7 linked regions of the Sus scrofa genome follow. The protein of the gene in region 5 interacts with the protein of the main gene of each other region in a pairwise test. Links are inferred from orthologs where the notes say so. Each region holds a gene or a part of one and is shown on either strand. Other genes may lie near its edges.

The links.
Region 1: the proteins of DISC1 (region 5) and SPARCL1 interact in a two-hybrid assay, tested with the Homo sapiens proteins (2 studies listed by BioGRID and IntAct). The link is inferred for Sus scrofa from reciprocal best matches to the Homo sapiens genes DISC1 and SPARCL1.
Region 2: the proteins of DISC1 (region 5) and MYT1L interact in a two-hybrid assay, tested with the Homo sapiens proteins (2 studies listed by BioGRID and IntAct). The link is inferred for Sus scrofa from reciprocal best matches to the Homo sapiens genes DISC1 and MYT1L.
Region 3: the proteins of DISC1 (region 5) and SH3BP5 interact in a two-hybrid assay, tested with the Homo sapiens proteins (2 studies listed by BioGRID and IntAct). The link is inferred for Sus scrofa from reciprocal best matches to the Homo sapiens genes DISC1 and SH3BP5.
Region 4: the proteins of DISC1 (region 5) and MPPED1 interact in a two-hybrid assay, tested with the Homo sapiens proteins (2 studies listed by BioGRID and IntAct). The link is inferred for Sus scrofa from reciprocal best matches to the Homo sapiens genes DISC1 and MPPED1.
Region 6: the proteins of DISC1 (region 5) and SMC3 interact in a two-hybrid assay, tested with the Homo sapiens proteins (2 studies listed by BioGRID and IntAct). The link is inferred for Sus scrofa from reciprocal best matches to the Homo sapiens genes DISC1 and SMC3.
Region 7: the proteins of DISC1 (region 5) and YWHAE interact in binary tests that used the Homo sapiens proteins (3 or more experiments, as listed by UniProt). The link is inferred for Sus scrofa from reciprocal best matches to the Homo sapiens genes DISC1 and YWHAE.

Annotation. Positions count from the first base shown.
Region 1 is NC_010450.4:131,421,454-131,424,953, reverse strand, and holds part of SPARCL1 (SPARC-like protein 1), read right to left. Parts: intron 2,512-3,500; coding exon 2,375-2,511; intron 248-2,374; coding exon 99-247; intron 1-98.
Region 2 is NC_010445.4:131,926,693-131,930,858, reverse strand, and holds the start of MYT1L (myelin transcription factor 1-like protein), read right to left. Parts: upstream 2,801-4,166; 5' UTR 2,275-2,800; intron 2,244-2,274; exon of another isoform or gene 2,142-2,243; intron 1-2,141. UniProt on the Homo sapiens protein: Transcription factor that plays a key role in neuronal differentiation by specifically repressing expression of non-neuronal genes during neuron differentiation.
Region 3 is NC_010455.5:2,505,602-2,509,101, reverse strand, and holds part of SH3BP5 (SH3 domain-binding protein 5), read left to right. Parts: coding exon 1-103; intron 104-1,686; coding exon 1,687-1,947; intron 1,948-2,295; coding exon 2,296-2,504; 3' UTR 2,505-3,500. UniProt on the Homo sapiens protein: Functions as a guanine nucleotide exchange factor (GEF) with specificity for RAB11A and RAB25. Inhibits the auto- and transphosphorylation activity of BTK. Plays a negative regulatory role in BTK-related cytoplasmic signaling in B-cells.
Region 4 is NC_010447.5:5,493,695-5,497,711, reverse strand, and holds the start of MPPED1 (metallophosphoesterase domain-containing protein 1), read left to right. Parts: upstream 1-1,217; 5' UTR 1,218-1,296; intron 1,297-4,017. UniProt on the Homo sapiens protein: May have metallophosphoesterase activity (in vitro).
Region 5 is NC_010456.5:58,838,455-58,841,954, reverse strand, and holds part of DISC1 (disrupted in schizophrenia 1 protein), read left to right. Parts: intron 1-1,132; coding exon 1,133-1,262; intron 1,263-3,500. UniProt on the Homo sapiens protein: Involved in the regulation of multiple aspects of embryonic and adult neurogenesis. Required for neural progenitor proliferation in the ventrical/subventrical zone during embryonic brain development and in the adult dentate gyrus of the hippocampus.
Region 6 is NC_010456.5:120,976,129-120,979,628, reverse strand, and holds part of SMC3 (structural maintenance of chromosomes protein 3), read right to left. Parts: intron 3,122-3,500; coding exon 3,083-3,121; intron 927-3,082; coding exon 859-926; intron 1-858. UniProt on the Homo sapiens protein: Central component of cohesin, a complex required for chromosome cohesion during the cell cycle. The cohesin complex may form a large proteinaceous ring within which sister chromatids can be trapped.
Region 7 is NC_010454.4:47,610,828-47,614,327, forward strand, and holds part of YWHAE (14-3-3 protein epsilon), read right to left. Parts: intron 2,142-3,500; coding exon 2,035-2,141; intron 1,388-2,034; coding exon 1,181-1,387; intron 1-1,180. UniProt on the Homo sapiens protein: Adapter protein implicated in the regulation of a large spectrum of both general and specialized signaling pathways. Binds to a large number of partners, usually by recognition of a phosphoserine or phosphothreonine motif.

The sequences.
Region 1 (3,500 bases), on a different chromosome or scaffold from region 5:
AACTGGGAAATTTCCTGAATCTGTTTAGAATTCTCTTAGTATAGATAGCCCTTATATCGGGGAGGTGCCCTGGTCATGGGAAAATAAAAGGCTTTTACCTGTCCCGCGGATGTTGGTCAAGCTCACTGAACTGCCAGTGCACGGGATACACATACATGTGGTAGTTTTTCTTAAAGTCCCTTAAGAGAAGGTCGATGGAATGGTCCCCAGCCAAGAGCCTCTTTTCATCCAGGTAAATTTTCTTGACCTGCGATCAGGAAGGGAGAACATCATCAGAGAATCAGACAAGTGAAGTGGAATTCTCGCTCGCTAAACCTCTCGGGGATAGGAACTCAACGTGGCAGAGGAAACCCAGTGCAGAACGTCACTGGAGAACCCATTACGCGCCTTCTCATCAACGCTACAGCCTTTCTTCTTTCTTATTTTTTTTCCTTAAGTTGAGAATTATGTTTGTTTTTTATTTTTTTCGGTTGTGCCTGTGGCATATGAAAGTCTCTGGGCCAGAGATCGAACCCACGTTACAGCAGCAACCACAGAGAGAACGCTGAGCCTTTCTTATTACACAGAATAACAGCAGACATTAAAAAAATAACTGCGGTTTTCAGAAGAAATTTGTCTTTTTTGATCTTTTAACCGAGTAAGGTTCACCACATTTCTTCAAACTGTGAGAGGGTTTTAATGGAAAGGGCTGAACTGACCTAGACAAAATCGTTCATTCGTTAGTGAGGTGTCCAGCTCTTCCCCCCTGGTGTTCTCTGTTCTTGATTCTCCCTGTATTTCCACCCCATGCCTGCTGAGTCTTGGGTTGGCCCCCTCATTGACATCTCCTTGTTGTGTATCTCATGCTCTCGAGCCTGTCTGTGACGACGTGTTGTGAGAGAGAGAGGCTAGAAATTATTTAGGGGCAATGCGTGTATGTACATATAAAACTCTCAGCTGGTGCCGTTGCCCATTATTTCACTGAGTCATTGGAAGCAATCAGAACAGAACTTCTACCCGTTCCCATGAACACAGCTACCAATGTCCCTCCTTGTCACTGTGGGTGAACTTCCTATGCTCCTCATCTAAGTCCAGCCCCTCCCTGGCGCTCAGAAGCTCACCCCTTCTCATCTACTCAAGAATACGCTGTGACAGTTGGGCACCTTTCCTTCTTTGCTGGGTTATTTCCAGAAGCACACAAACATCCTCTACCATCTCCTGATGGTAGATAGGGCTCTTTTTTTTTTTTTTTGGTCTTTTTAGGGCCTCACCCTTGGCATATGGAGGTTCCCAGGCTAGGGGTCTAATCGGAACTATAGCCACAGGCACAGCAACACGGCATCGAAGCTGGGTCTGTGACCTACACCACAGCTCACGGCAGTGCCAGGTCCTTAACCTATGAGCGAGGCCAGGGATTGAACCTGCATCCTCATGGATACTAGTAAGATTGCTTTCCACTGAGCCAGGATGGGAACTGCAAGAGGACACTTGAACTCACATTCCTCTCTCTCTCTGCCACCCCATTTCACTTTTCCCACACCGTTCCTCCTATTTTCTTTTGAAGGCAGTCCACGCAGGATGTTCTCTTTCCTGCTCTGCAGAAACAGCTCCTGTCAAGGTCAACTATGACTGCCACATGCCAAATCAGGGGCCAACTCTTAATCCTTAACCTATAAACAGCATCTGACACAATTAATGCACAACCTCCTTTTATTTTTTCTTTATGGCATGTTTCATCCCACCTGACTTAACTTATATGTGTATTTGCATAAATATTTTCTTGCATATGTTTATATATTTGCGTGCATGTTCATATTTGCATACATGTTTATGTTACTGTATATCATCTCTTTGTGTAGGATGTAAGATTACAAAGGCAGAGATTTTTGTTTGGTTCATGGCTGTGTTTCCAACATGTAAATCCATTCCGGGTACTGGGGATATACTCAGTAACTCCCTGGGGAATGAGTTTTCTTTGGGCGCTTTTAGGATCAATCTTCTCCACTTTTAAATTTTAATGTATTACTGACATCGTTAGTAGTGGGTTTCCCTTATATCACACACCTCTGTCTGGCCTATGAAAGAAAAAGAGATGTTTTGACTTAAATAATATGTCTGGGCCTGAACATGTAAATGCTGAATGGAGGTTTACTTTACTCCACAGATCTTGGCCTAGGTATGAGTTCAAGAGCCCTTGCTCAGGCCACCGCGCTTTGTGTAGGAATGAGGTTTGTTTCCCAAACCTTGTGGCCTGAACGATGACCACTGCTATATGTTAACCAAGTGTGGTTGCTGATATGCAGTGGAAGGCAGCCCTTGCCCCTGGCCCCAGCCCCTGACACCTTTTCCAGGCCCGCAGACAGACGCCCAGGCAGCTGAGCCATGGTTAACTTACTTTATTTCTCTGCTTCTCATTTAGATATCCAGCATGTTCAGGGTTAGGCTCATAAAGCTGCATGAGGATATTCTTGAGCCAGTCTCTCATCCTTAGAGGAAACTGGGTCACTTCAAAGTCCGTACAAGCAGGAATAGCTGTTCCAAGCAGAAAATAAATTGATCTTGACTTTTGGTTCTTACTCCTGCCCTGAGGATTGTCCTCATGACAGGATGCTTAATGACTTCCAGTGACTGGCAGTTTCCTCACTGCCCCTCCATCACAGCAGTGGTCCTTAATCCTGGTGACACAGCAGAATTGCCAGGAGTGTTTTAAAAGCATCCCAAAGATGCCAGCTTCTGTTCAAAGAAATTCTGATTTGATTGGAGATGAGAATCCAATCAGGATGCTTTAAAAACCTCCACAGGTAATTCTCATGTGTGGCCAGGGCTGAGAACCACTGCTCCAGAATCAGAGAGTTGGAATTACGAGGTAGAGGTCGCAAGAGCTGTTTCTTAGGGGAAAAGAGAAAAAGGCAGAAGTTAGCTTATACTGTGGTAACAATGTTAAATCTCTGTGGCTTAAAGGAAAAAAAGTTTACTTCTTTTTTTCAGGCTCATTGAGATATAATTGACATACCACACTCTAAGTGTAAAGTGTGCAGCAAAATGACTTGACACACATCTATCGTGTAGTGATTGCTGCATTCATCACCTCATGGTTATCCAATTTTTTATTTCCTCGTGGTAAGAACTTTCATGGTCTACTTTCTCGGCACCTGTGAAATACAGCAGTGTTGAGTGTTTTGTCGTCATCCTGTTGTACATCCCATCAAGTGTTTACCTCTTGATCCTCCTTCACATCCCACACGAGTCGGCAGGAGAGCTCTGCTCATCGCTGGCTCTCGGGGCTCCGGATGGTGGAGACTTCACCCTCTCAACACCATCTCAAGACGAGATGAAGGGTGAAGAGCCACACACCAGCTCTTATACGCTTCTGCCCAGAACTCACATGATGATTTTTGCTCAGATTTCATTGGACAAAGCGACTCCTATGGCTGCATCTAACATCAAGGGGGCTGAGAAGCTGAATCCTCTCGTGTGTCCAGAAGGAGAGGGAGGTGAGTGAGCACTGCTAATGTGGAAAA
Region 2 (4,166 bases), on a different chromosome or scaffold from region 5:
CAGTAATTTTAATAAAATCATGTTCGGAAATTTGAAAAGTAGGATAAAAATTTTACGTGCAAAATAAAGATACAAGGATTGTCTATCTTTCCTGCCACAACCTTCAGAATATCCAGTTGTGACCATGACACCGGCTGCCACTTCTGCCTCAACGGGTACCATGGTTAAGGTGATGAAACTGAGCCATTTTCACATTGCCAGTAAACTAGTAGGAAGTCCGTCACTGCTGAATGTAATTGCTATCAGCAGCGGACAGCTCCCGGTGCTGAAAGGGAAAGGGAGAGCAGCCTTGCTCACAATAGCTCACTCAACCAGCCTTTGAAAAATCACAGCAAAACTGAATGAGGTGGCAAGCACTCGGGCTGAATAGCACTGTCTACAGAACAATGGCAGCCAACTCCAAATCCTGCTATAATCACATTAATGAGATTAATCAGTGAATTAGCAGCAGTCAAATGTCAGGGAGGCAAGGAAGAATCCAACCAAGATTGGTAATTAACTTTTCTTGGGGGGGGAGGGAAAAAATCAACTGTGCTATCTCCTAGGTTTCTCAGAAGTTGACAATTTTGCTGCAAAAAGCTGGACTATATGTACTGATCAAAAGGCAACTGCATAATCCTTCACATCATAATATAAATCCAGGTATATTACTAATGCTTTAACTACAGTCCTCTGAGAAAAGTGAGGTCACTTGAAATAACCTTCGTAAACTATCAGGCTTTTATTGTTCTAAAAATCTTTAAGTGTAAATTAATATTAAAAAGAAAGTATTTCTTTAATACTCAAGCTAAAATATAAAAAATATGGCTGATTAAAAAAGGAAGGATTATGTAACAGCTGCTATTGCCTATGAGAAGTCTATGATACTGCAGTGAGAGTTTTTAAAAGTGCCATCAAGTAGAGAACTATTACACAAACATATCGGCTCAGGTCGACTCTCATAAAGAATGTTTATTGCTACAGTACAATTTTAAGAAGAATTTTGACCAATTGACCTATTGTACTTGAGGTGACAGAATCATACACTTTCCTCTAGGTCAATTAGAAAAATAAATACCCTTTCCCCCCCCCTAGAATGTATAAGTAAGTAGCATGGATAACATACAATCAACACTTTGGATTCAAAGTTTTTGAGAGGCGAAAAGTTATGGGCATACAGTGGTGCTGTTTTTCAAAAAGGAGTATTGTAGAAAAACTCTTTTTATAATTTTAAAGATAAGCCCATTTTTATCTGTATGGAAGACATGTGTCTATCATCTAAGCTACATGACTTTCATGAAGTTGAGCAATTAGAAAGAAAGCCTCCCTTATGGTCGTAAGGGTGGTCCTAGGATGCTTTTGTCTATGAAGTTGGTTTTATTCAGTAAAAAATACAAACACTTAAACCAAAAAGCTTTTATTATAACAGATTTTTACTCTAATTAAATAACTTAAAATTTTATAGACTATGTTGTTTTGGTGGTGCAAGAAATTATCATGGCTTAATTAATACTAAATTCAAAATCAGAGCTCTATATTTTGAATCATATATAAATTTAGGTCTTATTATGATCTATCTTGAAGATAAAAGTTTGCAGTTTGAACTTGCAAAGATGTTCAAGTCATCTTTCTGTTACAAATGAAACACTGTTTCATTTTTATGAACTTCAAACATTTCAGTTATAGTTAAAAATCTTTATTTGAGTTTCTTAATTTTAACAGTATAAGTCAACTTTCTTACCATTAGGCAAATATAACATTACATCGAGAATATCTCATGTTTTAACAGCCTTTGCAAAAAATGATATGCTTCATTTGCAATGTAAAGTAATCCAGCAAAGTCTCTGGGAAGTTTTTGTTTCACTATCCACATATCCAAGTACTGTCCATGCAGCGAGGTCTTTTTTTTTTTTTTTTTTTTTTTTTTTTATAAACAACATCACGGTTAAGGCATGCAACCTAGTACCCATTTCAACTCTAAAGAGAGAGATTTCTGTGGATTACAAACTCCTATAGCCCAGGAACATTTCAGCTGCCAGCCATGCTATAAAAATAACTTTAAAAGGAGCAAACAATAGGCATTATAGCACAAGCCCTTGAGCTACGGTAAAACAGACCCTGTCCACTAAGTCCCCAGAATTAACCTAACAAAGATCACGTACCTCACAACATGACCACAACAGCTCCCAAGTTAGACAAGCTCAATTTTGGTGACTGTGCTGGCTAGAAACACACAGAAAGCAAACCAGCCCTATTCCACCCCAAGCCTGAAAGGATGATGAGGAATATGCCTACCACCGAGATGCAGAAAAGGCTGCTTTTTGTCTTCAGTGAATACTGATATCGTAACCCATAGTCCAGGGGATCAAAAATTAAAATACACCCACCAACAATGAGTACAAAAATCAGGGGGCTTCAAGAAGGCTGCAAGGAAAGCTCTCTCCCTGTTTAGTGTGCAGTAGCTTAGGGAAAAAAAATGTCGCCCCGGCAGGAATGACAAATGCAGTGTGATAGGCTCGCAGGCCTGAGGGATCTGTTTTACTTCCCCATACAGCCCCTAATGCACACACTCCCACTCATCCTCTCGATATGCTTTTTTTTTCCACGTTTTTTTTCATGAGCTCCAAATCCCCGGCATATGACCTTCTGTTAAGTAGATAAAAAAAATGCTTATCAGTCATGCAAATGAGGCTGAATTCATTTTCCACAACAGATGGCCTCATAGATAATGATGATGGAAGAGAGAAAATTGAATGTCTCTCACACGGTGGCCATGGCAACCGAGAACAGAATCATATCAATAATAAGCTCACTGCATAATAAGGTTGTCAATCCAGCAAATCAGTTTCCAGCCAGATCAGGTACCACCCCAGCTAGTTACCAGGTAAATAAAAAGCAAAAAAATACATATGTGTATTGTGCATTTTACCGTGACCATAAAAGAGGCAGAATTGCGAGCCTCTCTGTGGAAGAGAGAGAGAGAGAGAGAGAGAGAGAGAGAGAGTGTGTGTGTGTGTGTGTGTGTGTGTGTGTGAGCGCGCGCGTGCTGCGGGTAGTTGGATAATGAAATGACAGTGTGACATATTTTTTTCTTTTCTTTTTGTTCTATTATAGTTACTGTAAAGGATGTGGTTTCATGAAGGATTTTAAATAGCCATATTGAAATTTGGGATGTGGCGTGTGGCAGTCTGTGCTCTTCCCCGCCCCCACCCCGTCTGATGTGAGCTGCATCGATGCAATAGCCGCTCGCCCCAGGCTTCCACCTTGGCTCCCAGGGGGACATCCTGCAAAATGAATCAGCAGCCATCCTGAGCAGGCTGATTAAAATGAAAATGGCAAGGCACATGTCTGGGCGGAACTGGAGCTCAGCTTTGCTGCCTGTCTGGCAAGCATGCTCAATATAGCTCTTGCTAATAATGGCTTTCTGCTTTTCGGTTTTTAAAAAGGTATCACCCTTTTCTCCCTTGACCGGCTGGTGATGGAGAGTGTGTGTGTGTATGTGTGCATGCGTGTGTGCACGCACGCGTGCGGGTGCCCTGGTATGTGTGTGTGCATGGTCGGGGGAGATGGAATGGAGTGTTCAATTCTAATTCTCTTGCTCGCGTGCAGACTGCCTGCCCACGCCCGGATTGTGAAACTGAGCTTACCTCCCGCTTTCTTCTGGGGAGGGGGGGCGCTCGATAAGTCCTGGGGTGAAAGGGCCAGTTATACACTCAAGCTGCCTAAAGACCGACTCAACGTTTTTATCCTAGATACAATGATTTCTAACCAAATCCTGGGCAACGGACCTTGAGGGAACTCTAGCTCTGCTTCCTAGCCTCACAGTCGGATGCTCTGAAATGCAGCCTCCAAAGAACCTATTTCTGTTTCAAGCATTTGCAACCAGGCTGTTACTGTATCCTAGATATTATGCAACATGAAGCATCAAAAATAGAAAAACAAAAGGTGACTAACTGATGCAATAATCTAACAACATTTATTAAAAATGAATCTCTGACTTAAAAAATTCTTAAGTATACTTTTAAGATGACCCTCAAATAAACTATATGCTTCAATATCTGTCAAATTCTTCAGGGCTTTTTTTTAATATATATATATATATATATATATATATAGGTGTTTTTTTAACATATATATAGGCATTTTCATTATCATTGCTCATGAAAAATGCCTTAAAAATTAGAAGC
Region 3 (3,500 bases), on a different chromosome or scaffold from region 5:
TCCAGTGCCATGGGGCCCCGCGGCCGTGGCGTCGGCGCTGAGGGGGGCAGCACAGCCACTGAGGACCTGTCAGGGGGCAAGCCCGAGCCCGATGCTGTTTCTGGTGAGTTGGGGGTGCATGTGGCCTGCTCCTGCTCTTCTCTCCCCCACCCCCTTCCCACCCTGTTTTGGGACACTAGTCACCAAGATGCTGCTGTGTATCTGCAGAATCAGGATTCTGTGGTCATGTTTGGAAAATGTCACACTCTCATCCCCAAGTAATATGAGGGCATTCCAGGCTCTGAGAAGTCCTGCAGGGATGAAGAGTTGTCTGGAATAGGGACTTTGGAATCCGATTTGATTCGAGTCCTGGCCTTTGCACCATGACTAGTACGTGATGCGGGCAAGCATGTAACTTCTATCTCTTTCTTCCCCAGTAAAGCAGGGCACATGATAGTCCCTGATGTCCACTGTGTAGAGCAGTGGTCAGGTTTAATTGAAGGAGTGCCAGCCCCCAATGGACAATGCATGTGGTGTCTGGCCACCCCTGGGAAACTGACTCAGAGAGTTGCTTCGGCTCCCCCTATGTCAATCCAGAACCCCCGCTCCCTCCCCCAGTGCCGCCTCCGGGACCTTTTTTTGCCCCTTCTGTGGAGTGATGGCTCTTGCCACCTTCCTCAGGTGGGCTTTAATTCAGCCAACAGATGTTCACGCGTCAGGCCCCAGGTAAAAGAAGGAATTATAATTTGAGCATCAGTGATGTGAGCACATTAGTGCTCACCATCTCGTAAACCTGTGAGGAGAGGAACATGAACCTGAGAGAGGTTCAGTAACTTGACTGAGGCTACAGAGCATATAGCGGAGAAAGGATTTGCTCTCAGATCTGAGCCCACTGTCTGTGCCCAGCATCACAGTCCTTCTCATGGGCGCCAGTCCTCCATGGGATGCCACAGGTCGTTTTTAAAGCTGAGGGAGGAGGACAAGGGCGTGGGATGGCATGTGGGCTGAGGAGTAAATAGTTTAAGGCCGAGGCAGCTTTTAAACCACCAGAATCTCTGGGCCTTGCTTATTCTGGTCCACAAAACGAGTAAGGCACAAGCTACAGAGCAACATAAAGGTATTGTGGGCTTGTTTTTGTTTTTGTTTTGTGGCAAATGGTGATCTCTGTGGGCTCTAAGCATGTCTTTTATGGGATCACAAGTTACTTGGAGGGAGACAGAGGTCCCAGCAGACATTCCGCACAGAGCTGTCTCGTCCAGCAGCTCCTGCTGCTCCCACAGAACGGAGGAAGATTCCTCAAGTCTGGCTGGCTTTGTTTAGGATGCATTGGGCAGGCCAGCCCTCTTCCTGTGCTCTTGGGGATCTATCTTGGGGACTGGGGTGAAGAAAAGCCCCGTATCTTTGGCTGAATTCACCTTCCATCATGAGGCAGGGTCTGGTGACGGTGACTTCCAAGGCAGGGGCTGTAAAGTGACGGGAAGGATACTGACCAGCCACGGGGCCCAGCGGCTTCTCTTCAGGGTGCTCCAGAGCCTGGCCACTCGAGTACAGGCGAGCCACGTCCCTTTCATCAGGTGCCCACAGTGGCCGGGTCCTGCAGTTCCCAGCCCCTGCCCAGCTCCTCCAGCAGTGGACACATCTGGAGGTGTGTAGGGGCCGGGCTGCTGTCCTTCAGACCTGTGTGACGACTGTCCCCTCTCATCCTAGTGGCCTCCGAGGCCTTCGAAGATGACAACTGCAGCACCTTCGTGTCTGAAGATGACTCGGAAACCCAGTCTGTGTCCAGCTTCAGCTCAGGACCCACAAGTCCGTCCGAGGTGCCTGACCGGTGCCCTGTGGCCGTGAGGCCGGGCAGCCTGGACCTGCCCAGCCCTGTGTCCCTGTCGGAGTTCGGGATGATGTTCCCGGTGCTGGGACCTCGCAGCGAGTGCAGTGGGGCCTCCTCTCCTGAGTGCGAGGTGGAGCGAGGTGAGTGCCCGTCCTGGATGCCGGGGTGCTGGGGACGTGCTGGGGTGGGGACAGAGATGGTTCCCAGCTCCGTGCCTGACCAGGATCAGCGTCCTTCTGCCTCTCATCACAATAGTCCTCTTGACAAGCACCTGCTAGAGAGGTCTGTTTCCCAGCTGTCACAGGGGTGTGACAGATTTCATCTCTAAAGATGAGGGATATACGGAGTTTCTCGAGAAACACAGGCAGTGAGACGTTAACGCGATGGAGGGGCTTCTGTGACAGGCTCGGTGGAGCAGCACTGGGAGAGTCTGGGTTGAGCCGGCTGACGGGCTTGGTACTCACGCCTTGATCTTTACGTTTCTACAGGAGACAGGGCAGAAGGGGCAGAAAATAAAACGAGTGACAAAGCCGGCAGTCATCGGGGTCTCGGCAGCAGCGGCGGTGACAACGGCAAGAGCCCGAGTGGCCCGTCCGAGGCCCGGGCCTTGGAGGACAGGATGCGGCAGCTGTCCCTGCAGGGCTCCAAGGGCAGAGACGAGGTCCTCGTGGACATGAGCATGGTGCAGGTCGGCTGATCCAGCCGTGGCTCTGGCCTAAGCACACAGCGATATTTATACACGAAACTGTACGGAGAGCGTTGTGCCAATAATCCTTTGATGTATGCCAAATCCTAGCATTTCCTCTAAACTGCACTAAGAACGTTTCAGTGACCTTGAGGGCAGAAGATGTTTCTTCTGGGTGACAGCTCTTGGGCTGGAGCGTTTTTCAGCGCAGAGGTGTCGTTGCAGGTGGGCTGTGAGCAGGCCCACAGCCTTTGTAGGACGTTCCTTGTCACCGTGTCATGGAAGCAATAACTGGTCCCTGGGAAAGACCCCGAGTCAGGAAAGGGGATGGGAAACCGAGCCCGGCCAGGGTCATCTGGGAAAATGACCTGTTTTCTCCTTTAGATCCCTTGGGATCTAAAGGAAAAAAATACATGAGACAAAACTCAACACCTTTTTGACCCAGTGAAAGCTTTCCAAAAAAAAAAAAAAAAAATCCGAGAACACAGTTCATGTTCATTATCTCTGATTTATGGAGGGGGATTTTAGAAGAGTATATTTGGTGGGACACCCATTAAAATCATTTTCTATATAAGCTTACCATGAGCTGCACTTTTTGGGGGTGGGAAAGGTGAATGCTGGTCTGGGGAGGGGGACAAGGGCAGCAGGGGCCTGTCACAGAAGGGGGTTCGTGGCTGTTGGGGAGAAGGTTCTGTAGCATAAACCTCATCCCATCAGCCAAGGGGACTTATTCTAAGAGAAGTTGCATGTGAGGAATGGTTGCCAGTGTTCTAGATCGACAAGGTGTTAATTTCTCCATAGGTTGTAACTTTAACAATAAATTATGATGCACTAGTATTTCTTAGAGGAAACTGTTCCTTCCAGCTAGGAAAGGGAGTAGGCATGTGTTGGCAAAGGCTGTTAAATAGAAGCAGTGGCGTCTGTTATGCTAATAGTATGTTATGTGACTGCTGTTCTTGTTTTCATGGTTACATGCATTTAGAGCTTTGTATTTCATTTGTCCTTTTC
Region 4 (4,017 bases), on a different chromosome or scaffold from region 5:
CTGCCTCCCTAAGGCCAGGCCAGGCCTGAGGCACCACACATAAGTTGTCCTGTCTTGAGGGTTGTGTCTGAAGCTCTGATAAAGTCGGGAGCAGAGGCACAGTGTGATGTGTGTTGGGCGAGGGGGACCCACGTGCATTTCTCGGGGTGCCTGAGACCGGCCTCTGAGGGGCTACACCTCCCTACCTCCTTCTCAGTCTGGGAGGCCCCAGCCTGACCTGTGCCCTGTGGACTGCAGTCTCCGTCCATGGCAGAGGCTAGAGGTCACGAGGGGCCTCTCGAAGTCCCCAGGGTAGGGCCACCGCTCCCAGGGGTGTGGCTCTCCCCCCACACCCCCCAATAAGGCAGGGCCTTCTTCAAACCAGGGGCCAGGTCCTCGGCCCCACCTGCGTGCTTACCTGCCCACTCCAGGTTAGGCCTCCGCTGGCCACCTACGGTACCCCGGGGTTGGGGGCCTGGGGCCCCCAGGGAGAAGACGCGGGGGGCGCAGGAGGGGGCCGGGCCTAGGCAGCCAAGGGGCTGGGGTCTGCAGCTCTCGGAGAGCGGGGCCGAGGGGGAGTCTCAGACTCCCGGTGGGAGGGGCCCGGGGCCGGGTGCCCTCGCCGCCCCGGGAGAGGGTCCGGGCCGGGGGCGGGGGCCGAGGCGCCCCGGAAGGAGCCGCGCACGCCCCAGCACGCGGTGCCCGCCGCGGCGGCCGCGGATCCGGAGGTGAGAGCGCCCCCGCCCACCCCGCGCGCGGCGGGGCTGGGGGCCGGGGCCGGGCCGGAGAGGGGCGCGGGGCGCGGCGGGGCGGCCGGCGGCCCTTTTCCGCAGCGCGGGCCCTGCGCCTCCTCCCCGCGCCCGGGCCCGCCTCCCCGCTCCCTTCTTCGGGGCGGCGGGATGCGGGCGCCGGGCCCGGGCGGGGGCCGAGGGCCGAGGCCTGGCGGGCTAGGCTGGGGCCCCGGCGGGCGGCCGCGCGGGGCCGGGGACCCAGGGCGCGAGCGCGCCCCTCCCGGCGCCGGGGCGGGGGGAGGCGGGAGGAAGCGGGGAGGGCGGAGGGCGGCGGCGGGCGGGGGAGCCGGGGGAGCTCGGAGCCGCGCGGCGGGCGGGCGGGCGAGGGAGCGGGCGGCGGGGAGCCCCCCGCCCCCGAAGGAGGAGTCTGGCTCCCACTTGCTGCCTCGGACGCGCGGCGAGGCGGCCGCCGCCGGAGGAGCCCCCGCCCCTGCGCGCCTCCCTCCCCGGAGCCGGGCCCCTGCCTCCCTCCGTGCGCGCTGCTGCTCGCGGCCGCCGCGGCCGCCGAAGAGGAGCCCGGGGCCAGGTAGGGCCGGGGCGGGCGCGGCGGGCGCGGGGCGCGGGGCGCGGACGCCGGGCCGGGCGGGGGGCGCGGCCGGGCCCCTCTCCAGGCGCGGGGTGACGCCCGCGGCGCGGCGCAGGGGCGCCCGCAAAGTTACTTTGGCTTCCTCTGCCCGGTGCCGGCGGCCGGGCCGGGCACCCCGGCTGCCCGGCCGAGCGGGTGCCGCCGGGAGGGGCTCGGCCGGGGCGCTGGACTCCGACTGGGGCCGAGGGGTCAGCGAAACTTTTCCCCAGCTCGCCACTCGCTGCTGGCTGCTGGCGGAGTTGCTGGTGGAAGAAGCGCATTGGTGGGGTGCGAGTGATGAAGATGGTGGTAACAATAGCAGCCCCTAGGCTTTGAGAGCCTACTGTGCGCAGCAAAGCCCCTGCTGGGACTTGGGGGCAAGGGAGGCAGAGACTAATGCTGGGCTAGTGGCCACTTTTGCTAGGCATTGCTGGAAACTTCATCCTGCCGCCCACCCATCCACCCACCCACCCACCCATCCATCCACTCACTCATTCTACACATATTTATTACTGTCTGCTGTGTACCAGGCGCAGGGGATTCGGTGGCTAACCAGGCAGGTTCCAGCCCTCGCAGGCAATATTTCAGGGAATGCCCAGGCTGAGGAGCAGTTCTGTCTCTTGTGTGTTTATTCTGGGACTTGGTAAAGGAGAGTGACCCCGGGGGACACAGGGGAGGGTCAGTCTGAGAGCTGATGTGTCCAGGACTCTGTGGCAGGCCACCAGCTTTGGGTCGTAGCCCTGAGGTGTCCTCCACCCCTTCCCCTCCCACCCGCTCTCCACCGGGGCTGCCTGGCTGGGGGTGGGGTGGGGGTGGGATCAGGAGGCCCCACCCTGGAAGGGGCCCCAGAGCTGCTCGGCTGACCTCTGGGGGCGGTCTTTGCCCCCAGGGCTGGGTCAGAGCCTCCCCCAAAGACCCTTGCAGGCTTGGTTGCCTCCCCTCCCCATTTCCAAGGCCTCTATTGAACGGCCCAGAGGAGAGCTTAAGTGGCAAACAATTATGAAATTAAACCAGGGAACAAAAGTGGGCTGGTTGGTGAATGGTGAGCTGGCTTCCCAGACTTGAATGGCGGTAGAAGACTTGTTAGCTGGATCAGTCATGCAGGGGGAGTGGGAGGGGGTGTCAGGCAGGCATTACCAACATCAATACCCTACCTGGTATCTGGAAAAAAAAAAAAAAAATTAAACCAACTTCATGAATAATTGGCCATATTGGCTAAAATGCTTTAGGGGATCGGAGAGGCCACTGGCCGACTGCCATCTTCAAGGCTGGACCATCCACGGGAGCCCACGTACCACGGGACCATTTGGGGAGGGGGGGGGATGTGGCTGGGCAGAGGCAGGCCTCTGGTGGTGGGGAGCACACGAGGGCTGTTGACCTAGCCGGTGGCCGTCCAGAGGCATTCTGGAGCAGGGCACAGTTAGGGGGAACCTCGGTGGGGGGGGCGTGCATGAAAAACTGCTGCACGACAGCTTGGCTCCCTGCAAATTGGCTTTCCGAGTGGCAGCCCCAAACACTTGTAAAATCTTTTTGCTCAAGATGGGTTTCTCGGAAACGCTGTCTCCTTGAGCTCCCTCCGTGGAGGCACGTTAATGTGCTGACGGCCAGTCGGAAGGCGATAGTCCAGTTGCAGAGGTTTAATCGCATATTTGGAAGTGGTTCTGCGCAGGGCTGCCTTCCTGTTTATTTCTCAGCCTTAAGAATTTCCGAAGACCTGGATGGAAGGTTCAGAGTGTCCCCTGCATGTGGGGTGTCACCTCTCCGATGCATTTGCTATGGGAATACTTAAGATCACTCGTACCCTAACTGTGTTTATGAGCTGTGGGCTGTGTTTATGGACAGATAGACTAGATCTAAGTTTAGGTGAGAGGCTAGGGCTGTAGGGTCTTTCTGTTAGTCCCCAAATTGTGTTAAAAAGCCTGCCTTTTAAAAATTTCCCAGGGAGTTCCCATTGGGGCTTAACAGGTTGAGAACTTGATCAGGATCCATGAGGATGTGGGTTTGATCCCTGGCCTCCCTCAGTGGGTTAGGGATCTGGTGTTGCCCCGAGCTGCAGGGTAGGTCAAAGACAAGGCTTGGATCCTGCGTTGCTGTGGCTGTGCTGTAGGACCCCTAGCCTGGGAACTTGCATATGCCGCAGTTACGGCCCTAAAAAGAAGAAAAAATTTCCCAGTCCACCCATGAGACTCTTAAATCTTCATCCAATGAAAGTGACTCAAGTTCATTTGTTTTCCCTTGAACTTGCTACATTCCCTTGCAGACACTCACCTAACACTGGACACATCTCTCTGCCCCTGTCTGAGGGGTTTAAGCATGGCACAGAGATTCCACCGAAGGGTAGCACCCAGGGAGAAAAATCAGCCTTCTGGGTGCAGGTTCTCGACGAGTGGAAAAAAGAGAACCCTCCCCAAAGTGCAGTCGTTTTTTAATCTATCAAAATGATTTCATTTTTCCAATTTCAGGCCTGTGAACTGATCATGAATAGCAGGGCAGAGGAAATTAATCGGCCAGGCAAAGACTTTTAACAAGTAAATATTATGCACAGAAAAACATGCAATTAGTGGAGGTTAGTTAATGCCTTTCAAGTTGCGGCGGCGAGCTGCCTTTAAGGGTGGCATTTCTGCGTTATCCCTGAATTGTCTGTCAAAAATCTTTAATGCGACAATGTGACATGTCTCTCCC
Region 5 (3,500 bases):
CCTTTCCTGAGAAGCTCTGACCCAAATGTCTGCAGATCAGTCATCTCTCTTTTTCCTCCTTCCTTCCTTCCTTCCTTCCTTCCTTCCTTCCTTCCTTTCTTTCTTTCTTTCTTTCTTTCTTTCTTTCTTTCTTTCTTTCTTTCTTTCTTTCTTTCTTTCTTTCTTTTTTTCTTTCTTTCTTTCTTTCTTTCTTTCCTTCTTTCTTTCTTTCTTTCCTTCTTTCTTTCTTTCTTTCTTTCTTTTTCTTTCTCTCTCTCTCTTTCTTTCAGGTATTCCCTGCCTGGCCCTGTCCTCCTGGTATGTTCTAAATTTCCAGGCCTGACCTACCCTTCCCAGGTCAAGCATGACCCACTCTAGGAAGTTCTCCTTGGGTGTCTTTTTTTTTTTTCTTTTTCCTGTCATCCCTCTTTGTAATGTCTGCAGTCAAGATCAGCGCTGGAATTTGGCTCTGTCTGCTCTCTCTGGATGGTCCAGGCAGAGCTGTCTGGTGAAATATAATGCAAACCACATATGTGATTTTTAAATGATCTGGTAGCCATATTTTTAAAAAGTCAGAAGAAAAACAAGTGAAATTAATTTTTAAAATGTCTTTTCTCTTGTCTTTTTGGGGTGCGGTATATGGAAGTTGAATAGGGGGTTGAATCAGAGTTGTAGCTGCTGGGCTGCACCACAGCCACAGCAACGCCAGATCTGAGCTGAGCCTGGGACCTGTGCCTTACCTTGTGGTAATGCTGGATCCATAACCCACTGAGTGAGGCCAGGGATGGAACCTGCGTCCTCATGGATACTAGTTGGGTTTGCTACCACTGATGGAGTATTTTGCATTTTGTTTTCACACTAAGACTTTAAAATCTGGTGTGTATTTTATGCTTTCAACACAGATAGCCACAGGCATTGCTGCGGTATGGACAGTGCTGCATCCAATCAAGCATGCTGGCTACTTGAGAAAGCCAAAGTCCCGACAGATTATCATTAAAGCAAAAACTTTCATTAGGGACCTCATCCCCGTGACCCTCTTAAGGATGAGAACAGCCGGGGGCCACTCTGTGGACCTTCTTTCCATGAACACGCTTGCTGGTCTGTGGATTTCAGCTCGTCCATATCTGTACCAAGATGTCTATTTTATTTTCAGAGCTGGCAGTGAAGACACCCAAGCCTGGCTCAGAATGGAGCTGAAGACGTTGGCACCCACAGTACAGGACACCCTGCATGTGTCCATCACCAGGCGAGACTGGCTTCTTCAAGAGAAGCAGCAGCTGCAGGTAAGCAGGTGAAGAATCTGCAAGAAATGGGACAGTGTTTTTCTTATGCCTTTGAGCCACATGCAGCCAAGTGGCTCTTTGCCTTGCTGGAGTGCTGCAGTTAGAGCTTTGGGGTTCACTCAGGGAGCATCGGGTGGGGCGGTCGGAGACTGGAGGGCTTGCTGGAGTCTCACTGCAGACGAGGGGCTGAGAGCTTGGCAGCGTTTGTGCCTGTTCATGGCATTCCTCATTGCCTTCGGCTTTGCTTGTCTGCCAGGCCAATTTGTCACCTCTTATCATTCTGACCTTTAGAAGGTTCTTTGGGAAGGCGGAAAAGAAATCTGAGCTGTGGAAATCTTTTATGGAGATGGCTCTCAGTTCGCACCCTGGGTGGTAGTTGTTGGGAGGCAGAGTAAGGTGTGGACTGGGCAGGGAGGGCATGAATGGGACTGACCGGGGCATGGGGGGTGGGGGGTGGCTCCAGGCTTGCCCAGAGCAGGGGGTGGCCCAGAATTGTCCAGGGGCTAGAAATCTCGGTGCTGCCCTGAGTTACAGCCAGGAGGCCATCAGGAGTCTGGAAGTCTCCAGGTCCCCCCCACCCGCCAACCCAGGCAGGTGATCTTGAACCTCTCTCCACACCTGCTTGAGCCCAGAGGCCTTGAGGCAGGAATGGGAGCAGTGAGGAAACACTGACTTCTGGAAAGAATGTAGGTCTTGAACACTAGAGTTCAGAACCCAGTTTAAGCTCTCAAGAGCTCAATGAACTTGGCTAAGTTAATGGGACTTAGACAAGTTACTGGAAGCCCTCATCCCCACCCCACTGCGCAGAGAATTCTTTTTATTTTTTATTTTTGGCTGTGTCCGTGGCATGCAGAAGTTCCCAGGCCAGGAATCAAACTTGAACCACTGTAGTAACCAGAGCCACATTTGTGACAGTGCCAGGTCCTTAACCCGCTGAGCCGCCAGGGAACTCCCAGAGAGTTCTTATTATCTGAGTTTGCCCATCCAAGTCCCTATGGTAGCAAGCTGGCAAAGGGAAGCAAATATCGTCATGATTTGAAAACACTTTCCAATAGACTGCCACTTCCATGTGCACGGAGCATCATCGCAACGTTTGGAGAGCTGAAAACGTGAAATCTGGTGTTTGGTTTCCAACAGTATTCACCAGTTGAAGCTCTACCCAATTCCCGATGACCTTAGAGAGTACAGAATATAACCGAGGCCAGGGTGTGGAATGTTTAAGGGTGCATTCTTGGCAGGACTCTGGGGGAAGGTGGGTTTATTCATTTATTCATCAGGTATTTACCGAGTTCCTACTATGTGCCAGGTCCTGCTTGCCAGGCTCAGGATTCCTGTGGAATTTACCTTCTGGTGGGGGGCAGGGATGGGGAGATAGACAAGAAATGGCAAATGTCATAAATACCTAAATTATGTACCTAGCAGGGTGTATGGTGGTAGGAGGTACAATGCATGGACCAGACGCAATGTGGGGGTACCAGGTTCTACTTACTGAGAAATGAGATTGAAGCAAATACCTGGAGTTCCCTGGTGGCTTAGCAGGTTAAGGATCTGGCATTGTCACTGCAGAGGCTTGGCTCACTGCTGTGGTGCAGGTTCCATCCCTGACCTGGGAACTTCTGATGCTTCTGGTACAGCCAAAAAAAAAAGAAGAAGCAAATGCTTAATGGAAGAGGGGGAGGGGCCTTGCAGAAATCTCCAGAAAGTGCGTTTCCAGTGGTGGGGATAGCCACTAGAAGATGGCAGTGGGAGGGTGCCTGTATGTTCTAAAGGCAGCTAGGTCAGGGTTAGGGAGGACAGCAGAAGAGAAAGTTGGCCGTAAAGGGACCTTGCAGGCCTTTGTGAGATTTTGGGCTTTTCTGTGATTGTAGTGGGAGTGGCGGGAGGGTTTTAAGCAGTGAAATGATGTCATTTGACCACATTTTAAAGAGTCACTCTGGGAGTTCCTGTCGTGGCTCTGTGGAAATGAATCTGACTAGCATCTATGAGGACGCAGGTTTGATCCCTGGCCTCCCTCAGTGGGTTAAGGATCTAGCATTGCTGTGAGCTGTGGTGTAGGTCACAGACGTGGCTCGGATCCCTCATTGCTGTGGCTGTGGTGTAGGCTGGTGGCTGTAACTCTAGTTTGACCCCAGCCCTGGAATTTCCATATGTCAAAGGTATGGCCGTAAAAAGAAAGAAAGAAAAAAAAGATTAAAAGTAGAATTACCATGTGATTCAACTGTTTCATTTCTGGGTATA
Region 6 (3,500 bases), about 62 Mb from region 5:
TAAAATTATAAACCATGCTTAAAAACCAGAAAGATAGGAGTTCCGTCATGGCGCAGTGGTTACTGAACCCGACCAGGTAGGAACCATGAGGTTGTGGGTTCAAACCCTGGCCTCGCTCAGTGGGTTAAGGATCTGGCGTTGTTGTGAGCTGTGGTGTAGGTCAGACACGGCTCTGATCCTGCGTTGCTGTGGCGTGAGCTGGTGGCTACAGTTCTGATTAGACCTCTAGCCTGGGAACTTCCATATGCCAAAGGTGAGGCCCTAGAAAAGACAAAAAAAACACAGAAAGACAGATAGCATTTTATCACAGCTTTTTATGCTTTCTTATCCTAAAATTATTTTATTATTCATAATTATCTATTTAAAATTCTAACAACTGTCATTACTATAAATATACTGCCCTTCATATGAGAAAATGTTACCATTTAAGTACAAACATGGTTAAAAACAACTTTACGTTGTTTAGTCTGCAATGGTTGCTTCTCTACACTCCCAATTAACTTATGATCCTAATTCTCAAAGTTTCTAATTCCCAACTTAACTCTTTCCAGCAAACCTGCTTTCAGCCCCTTACCAGACCATACTTTCAATAAAGAATTTACATTTATTTGGAAGACATATCCATTCAAAGGGAACTTGTACAATCTTCTTAATTACCATTATATAAAAATTAAGCCTTTATCCTGTATTAATATAGTAGACTAAATTTCACAGCAGAACACCACACATTAAAAGAGAGACTGACTGCGTCATGGTCACAAAGGATCTGAAACTTGAACAAATAACTGTTCACCAGAATTGACAATGTATTTTTGGAAGTATTCAACATCAATAATGTGTTAAAGCAGCCTCACTCACATGCAGCAAAGCCAATCGCTGTTCTGGACGAAGATGACTAAATTCATCACTGAGAACAAACTGAATTGCTAGAAATACAAAAATAATTATTAGTACAATCTATAAAAGGATTTATGCCCTATTCATAATTCCCATACTTTCAGAGAATACAGTGTATCAGGTAATGAATGATGTAGATAAAGTAGATTACCTGTTTCATATAAACAAAATAAATGCAGAAAATCTGCCCATACGTCAGACTAATTGGCTAGGAAATGATACTAAAAAAACATTAAAAAGTTTTTTACTGAAACAAAACAAAAAGAGAACACTTAGAAACACAAAAAGATAAGCAGAACTAAGGTATACCTCTTGATCAAAGTATACACTGGTTAGGCTTCATGCTATATTTGCTTTTACCTACTAAAAATAAAGGATATAAATTTTATTTTTTTGGCCATGCCTGCAGCATGCAGAAGTTTCCAGGCCAGGGATCAAACCATACCACAGCAGTGACAATGCCAGATGCTTAACCTACTGAGCAGGGAATTTCTAAATTTTGAAATTTAACAAAATAGGATAAATTCCTATATTCTTAATAGGATATCAAGAGACCTTTGACACTATAAAAAAGAATATGTGTATATATGTGTATCCTCTCCAAGAGATTATGAAATACTTCCATTCCAATACTACTTTTCTCACCATCCCCAAATTACCACCAGTGATGGGGTATAGAGTACTATTTAGATTTGTGAGCATAGAAGGGATAGAACCTTTGCTATTACTAACCCCCACCACCTTTCCTCAAACACTAGTCCAACTGAGAGGTCCAAAATTTTTTCAACCTACTCCTTATACAGTCCGATTCTGTTAAAATATTTTTTCTCTTCCAAAGATTTGCTGGAGTACCCACTGTACCTAGTATCCATGCCTAGTATCCATGAGGATACAGGTTCAATCCCTGGCCGGCTCACTGGGTTGGGGATCTGGTGTTGCCATAAGCTGTAGTGTAGGTTGAAGATGCACCTCAGATCCCGAGTTCCTGTGGCTGTGGTGTAGGCCGGCAGCTATAGCTCCGATTTGACCCTTATCCCAGGAATTTCCATATGCCATGGGTGAAGCCCTAAAAAAAAAAAAAAAAAAAAAAAAAAAAAAGAAGTTAACAGAAGCATTACTATTCTTAACTGCATTTTATCTTTAGAGATAATTTTCAAAGCTCTATTTACTATTTTCAAATCAACAACTGTCTTTGTGAGAGCTCCCGTCGTGGCTCAGTGGTTAACGAATCCCACTAGGAACTATGAGGCTGAGGATTCAATCCCTGGCCTTGCTCAGTGGGTTAAGGATCCAGTGTTGCCGTGAGCTGTGGTGTAGGTCACAGACGCGGCTCGGATCCTGTGTTGTTGCGGCTCTGGCGTAGACCTGCGGCTACAGCTCCGATTCAACCCCTAGCCTGGGAGCCTCCATATGCCACAGGAGCAGCCCAAAAAATGGCAAAAACAAAAACAAAAGTCTTTGTTGAGTCTAAAGTTTTTAAACCCCTCCATCTTTTATTAAAATGATTGACTTAAATCAAAGAGATGAGTCATTTTCCAAAACAATATTAACTATTCTACTGCACCCATATTTTCCCTCCCTACCTACATACATTTACATACAGCACCCAAGTTTATTTTATTATTATTATTATTATTTTTTGTCTTTTTGCCATTTTCCTGGGCTGCTCCCGTGGCATATGGAGGTTCCCAGGCTAGGGGTCTAATCAGAGCTGTAGCTGTAGACCCCACGCCAGAGCCACAGCAACTCGGGATCCGAGCCGCATCTGCGACCTACACCACAGCTCACAGCAACACTGGATCCTTAACCCACTGAGCGAGGCCAGGGATTGAACCCGCAACCTCATGGTTCCTAGTCGGTTTCGTTGACCACTGAGCCACAACGGGAACTCCAGCACCCAAGTTTAGAAAGCACTTCTCTAAGTATTATCTCATCTGACTCTGACTACTGATCTCAGGTATAAGGTAGGCAGGGCAAACATCTGTCTTTAAAATAAAGTAGTACTTTGAGAGATTAAGTATTTTGTCGTGTCGCATGGCTAATTAATCACTAGAGTAGAACTCAGATTCTTACACTCTACATTAAAACCCTGTTTTCTGGTGTTTCATGAGGACATAACCTCAGATAAAACTACCTTAAGATACCCAGGTCTCACTATATTTAGAATTCGAAAAATAATACCTACCATAAAAGAAGTTACTTTTTCCAGATCCATTTCTGCCCACTATAAAATTTCAAAAAGTACATGTTACATATTTTGTGTAAAAGACAAAACATTACTGAAAGTATTAAAAAATATAAAAGGCAATTTTCTAACATCTTAAAAACTGAAATTAAATACAACAGAACAGTGAACAACAAAAACAGTCAATAAAACAGTTTTAATTACCAAGTGAATGCAGCTTTTAAACAGACTTTTTTCTTAAAGAAATTTAGTTTATTGTTTATTCATTTTGCTCTTTCCCAATTATTAGGAGTAACTATACATACTACTTGATTTTCATCATTTATATAATCATTACAATGACCATGTAGTTCTATTTTAACTGTATATAATAAAATATTTCTAACAATTTAAAGACTCATATAAAGCTAAAATTTTT
Region 7 (3,500 bases), on a different chromosome or scaffold from region 5:
AAAAATGAAAAAATCATTAGAATAATAAACGTTATACATATTTAATAAGTAAAAAGCTATGTAGATAAAGATACTCCCACTGGGAACTCTGTCTAGTCACTTACGATGGAACACGTAGTATGAGAAAAAAGAATGTACACATGTAAGTATAACTGGGTCACTATGCTGTACAGAAATATATATATAAATAAATGATTAAAAAAATTAATTTAAAAAAAGATATTCCTCAAATTTATGTCGGTATCAACAACTGGGAACAATCTTGGCATTCCCGTCATGGCTGAGTGGTTAATGAATCCGACTGGGAACCATGAGGTCAGGGGTTTGATCCCTGGCCTCATTTAGTGTGTTAAGGATCCGGCGTTGCCGTGAGCAGTGGTGCAGGTCGAGAACATGCCTCCAATCCTTTGCTGTGGCCCTGGCATAGGCCGGCAGCTACAGCTCCAATTAGACCCCTAGCCTGGGAACCTCCATGTGCCACAGGGGCAGCCCTAGAAAAGACAAAAAAAGGGGGGGGGGGCACAATCTGAAGTATAAATGAGGGAATATTCACATACTGATGGAAGTAACAGGATGCAAAATACAAAATGAGATGTACACTAAGAGTGTAATATATTAAAAACATGGTAGAAAGGCTTTGAAAATTAATACATAAAAATGAAGTACTGTGAAAATTTCTACCAATCAAATTTTTCCCCATCAACATAATTATCCTGCTATCCTAGTGAACTGAAATCAGTCAGTCTATATATCATCCAAAACAGTTTCATTAAGAGCCAAAATAATTCTTTCTGTTTGTTTGTTTTTTACTTTTTTAGGGCCGTACCCTCAGCATATGGAGGTTCCCAGGGTAGGGGTCGAATCAGAGCTGTAGCTGCTGGGCCTACACCACAGCCACAGCAATTCGGGATCCAAGCCATGTCTTCGACCTACACCGCAGCTCACAGCAATACCAGATCCTTAATCCACTGAGTGAGCCCAGGGATCAAATCTGCATCATCATGGATGCCACATTCTTTAACCACTGAGCCATGACAGGATCTCCCAAAATAATTCTTATTACATGGCCAAGGGGACAAAAGCAGTCCCAGGGAACAAGACAGAAAAACAAGTAGCTATTCTCCCTTGTAACCTTTTTCACATTCACAGTTGAGAGCTTTTGTTCTCTTTCATGACTTACCTGCAGGCACGGTCAGGGGAATTAAGAATTTCATAGTAGAATACTGAAAAGTTGAGGGCAAGACCTAAACGAATAGGATGTGTTGGTGGAAGTTCTGTCATTGCAATATCACTAGCAGCTTTATAAGCCACTAGGCTGTTCTCTGCAGCCTCTTTCCTGTCGTTTCCTGTGGCAAATTCAGCCAGATACCTGTGGTAGTCCCCTTTCCTAAAACAAAACAAAAACAAACAAAAAAACAACAGAATTAGGAATAATACTTTTAAAATAAATTCCTCAAATTTTTCTGTAGTACATAAAATCAAGTATGCAAAAAAAATGCATAACAATTAACACATATAATTCAGAAATTTCAAAAAGTCTCTTTCAGGAATGACTGCCTCATCTCTTTAGTTTTCCTCAGATTTCACACTGCCAAATGTTAAGAAAAATCCTAGACAAAATTAACCAAAAGGGCTCAAAAAAAATCAAATTTAACCACTTGACAGACCTGAATTAAAACAGAAAAATGGTTCCAAAGACTGACACGGTAGTTTATTAATCATGAAAAAAAACTTTGCATTACTTGTAGCTAGGGGGGGCAGCCCTACACAAGCCAATGAACATAATAAATAGGAAAAGCAAAACCTAGGACATTTTTACAGTAACAGTCTGACCGTCTTAAATGCAGTAATACTGATTCTTCTTAGCAGTAAATTTGCAAATGTGTGTTCAAAAATTAATGTAAGTTTTGAGATTCAGTCCTCCCGTTAACTACCCTTTCAACATTAAATAAAATGCTGAAAACCTAAAAGAAAAAGTGATTCTAAAAAGGCCAACATTTAATCTGACATTTTCCCATCTAGTATAGAACCTACATTTTATAATAGAAAACCTTGGACTCGCCAGTGTTAGCTGCTGGAATGAGGTGTTTGTCCAGTACATCCAGAATGTCACAACAGATTAATTTTAGCTCAGTCTCAACCTAAAAAAAAAAGTCAAAAACTTTAAATACGAAATTATACAAATTATCATTCTTTTTTTTATTTTAGGGCCACACCCTCGGCATATGGAAGTTCCCAGACGAGGGATCAAATCCGAGCTGTGGCTGCTAGCCTACACCACAGCCACAGCAACTCCAGATCTGAGCCACAGCTTGTGGCAATGCCAGATCCTTAACCCACTGAGCGAGGAGGCCAGGGATCGAACACGCACATTCATGGATACTAGTCAGGTTCTTAACCCACTAAGCCACAGCAGGAACTCCTATCCTGGAATTCTTAAATTCCAGTATTTTACTACTGGATTACAACTTCCTTTTCTAGTTCCTTTCTTACTATTATTCCTACTTAAAGGCACATCAGGACATCCGGTCTCTTGACTCTCATCTTCTCCCAATTTATCAGTCCCTCTTTTTGCTTCCTGCTTCCTTTCCTACTTACCCCAAATCCTATAATCTAGCACACAGACTTCTCTTTTCAGCACATTAAACTTTCTCATTTCCTCATCCCTGAGACATCAAACTTGTCTACTGACGATTCCTGTTTGTTCCAACGTATTTGAAGGTAATGGTCACACTAATACCAGCTCACCACCTTCTATGTGGTACCAGGTATGTTACTTAATCACTCAGAACAACCTTGGTTTTTCCCATCTATAAAGTGGAATAGTAACCTATCCTTTACAAGATCATTTAAAGATTAAATTAACTTGCACAATTACATAGAGTGTAATATCTCTCCCTATGCTTTGTGACTGTTTCTGTCATTTCCCTCACTGTACTCTTAAATGAGTGTGATTATATGTCTCTCTGCTCCACTAAAATCAGTTTCTCAGTAGCAGCACTAGTGACACTTTGGGCTACATACATCTTTGTTGGGGGGGGGGTGCTATTCTATGCATAATGGGATGCTTAGCAGTATCCCTGCCTCTACGCAATAAATACCAGTGGCACCCTCGAGCTGTGAAAACCAAAAACGTCTCTAGACATTGCCAAATGTTCTCCGAGGAGCAAAATCAACCTCTGGTTAAGAACCACTACAGTAAATCAAACTTTTGTAACCAAAACCCACAATAAGAAAAACATCACATATATATGAAACAACTTTATGAAATGCCCAATGCCATGGGGTATTTTCTACTCTATTAAAACAATGATGGAGTTCCTGCTGCACGCAACAGATCAGTGGCGTCTCTGTAGCAACAGGACGACACAGGTTCAACCCCAGCCTGGCACAGGAGGTCCAAGGATCTGGCTTTGCCACAGGTGCAGCCTAAGTTGCAAATGTGGCTCAGATCTGATCCTGGGCCTGGGAACTCCATATGCTACAGGGCTGCCAAAAAA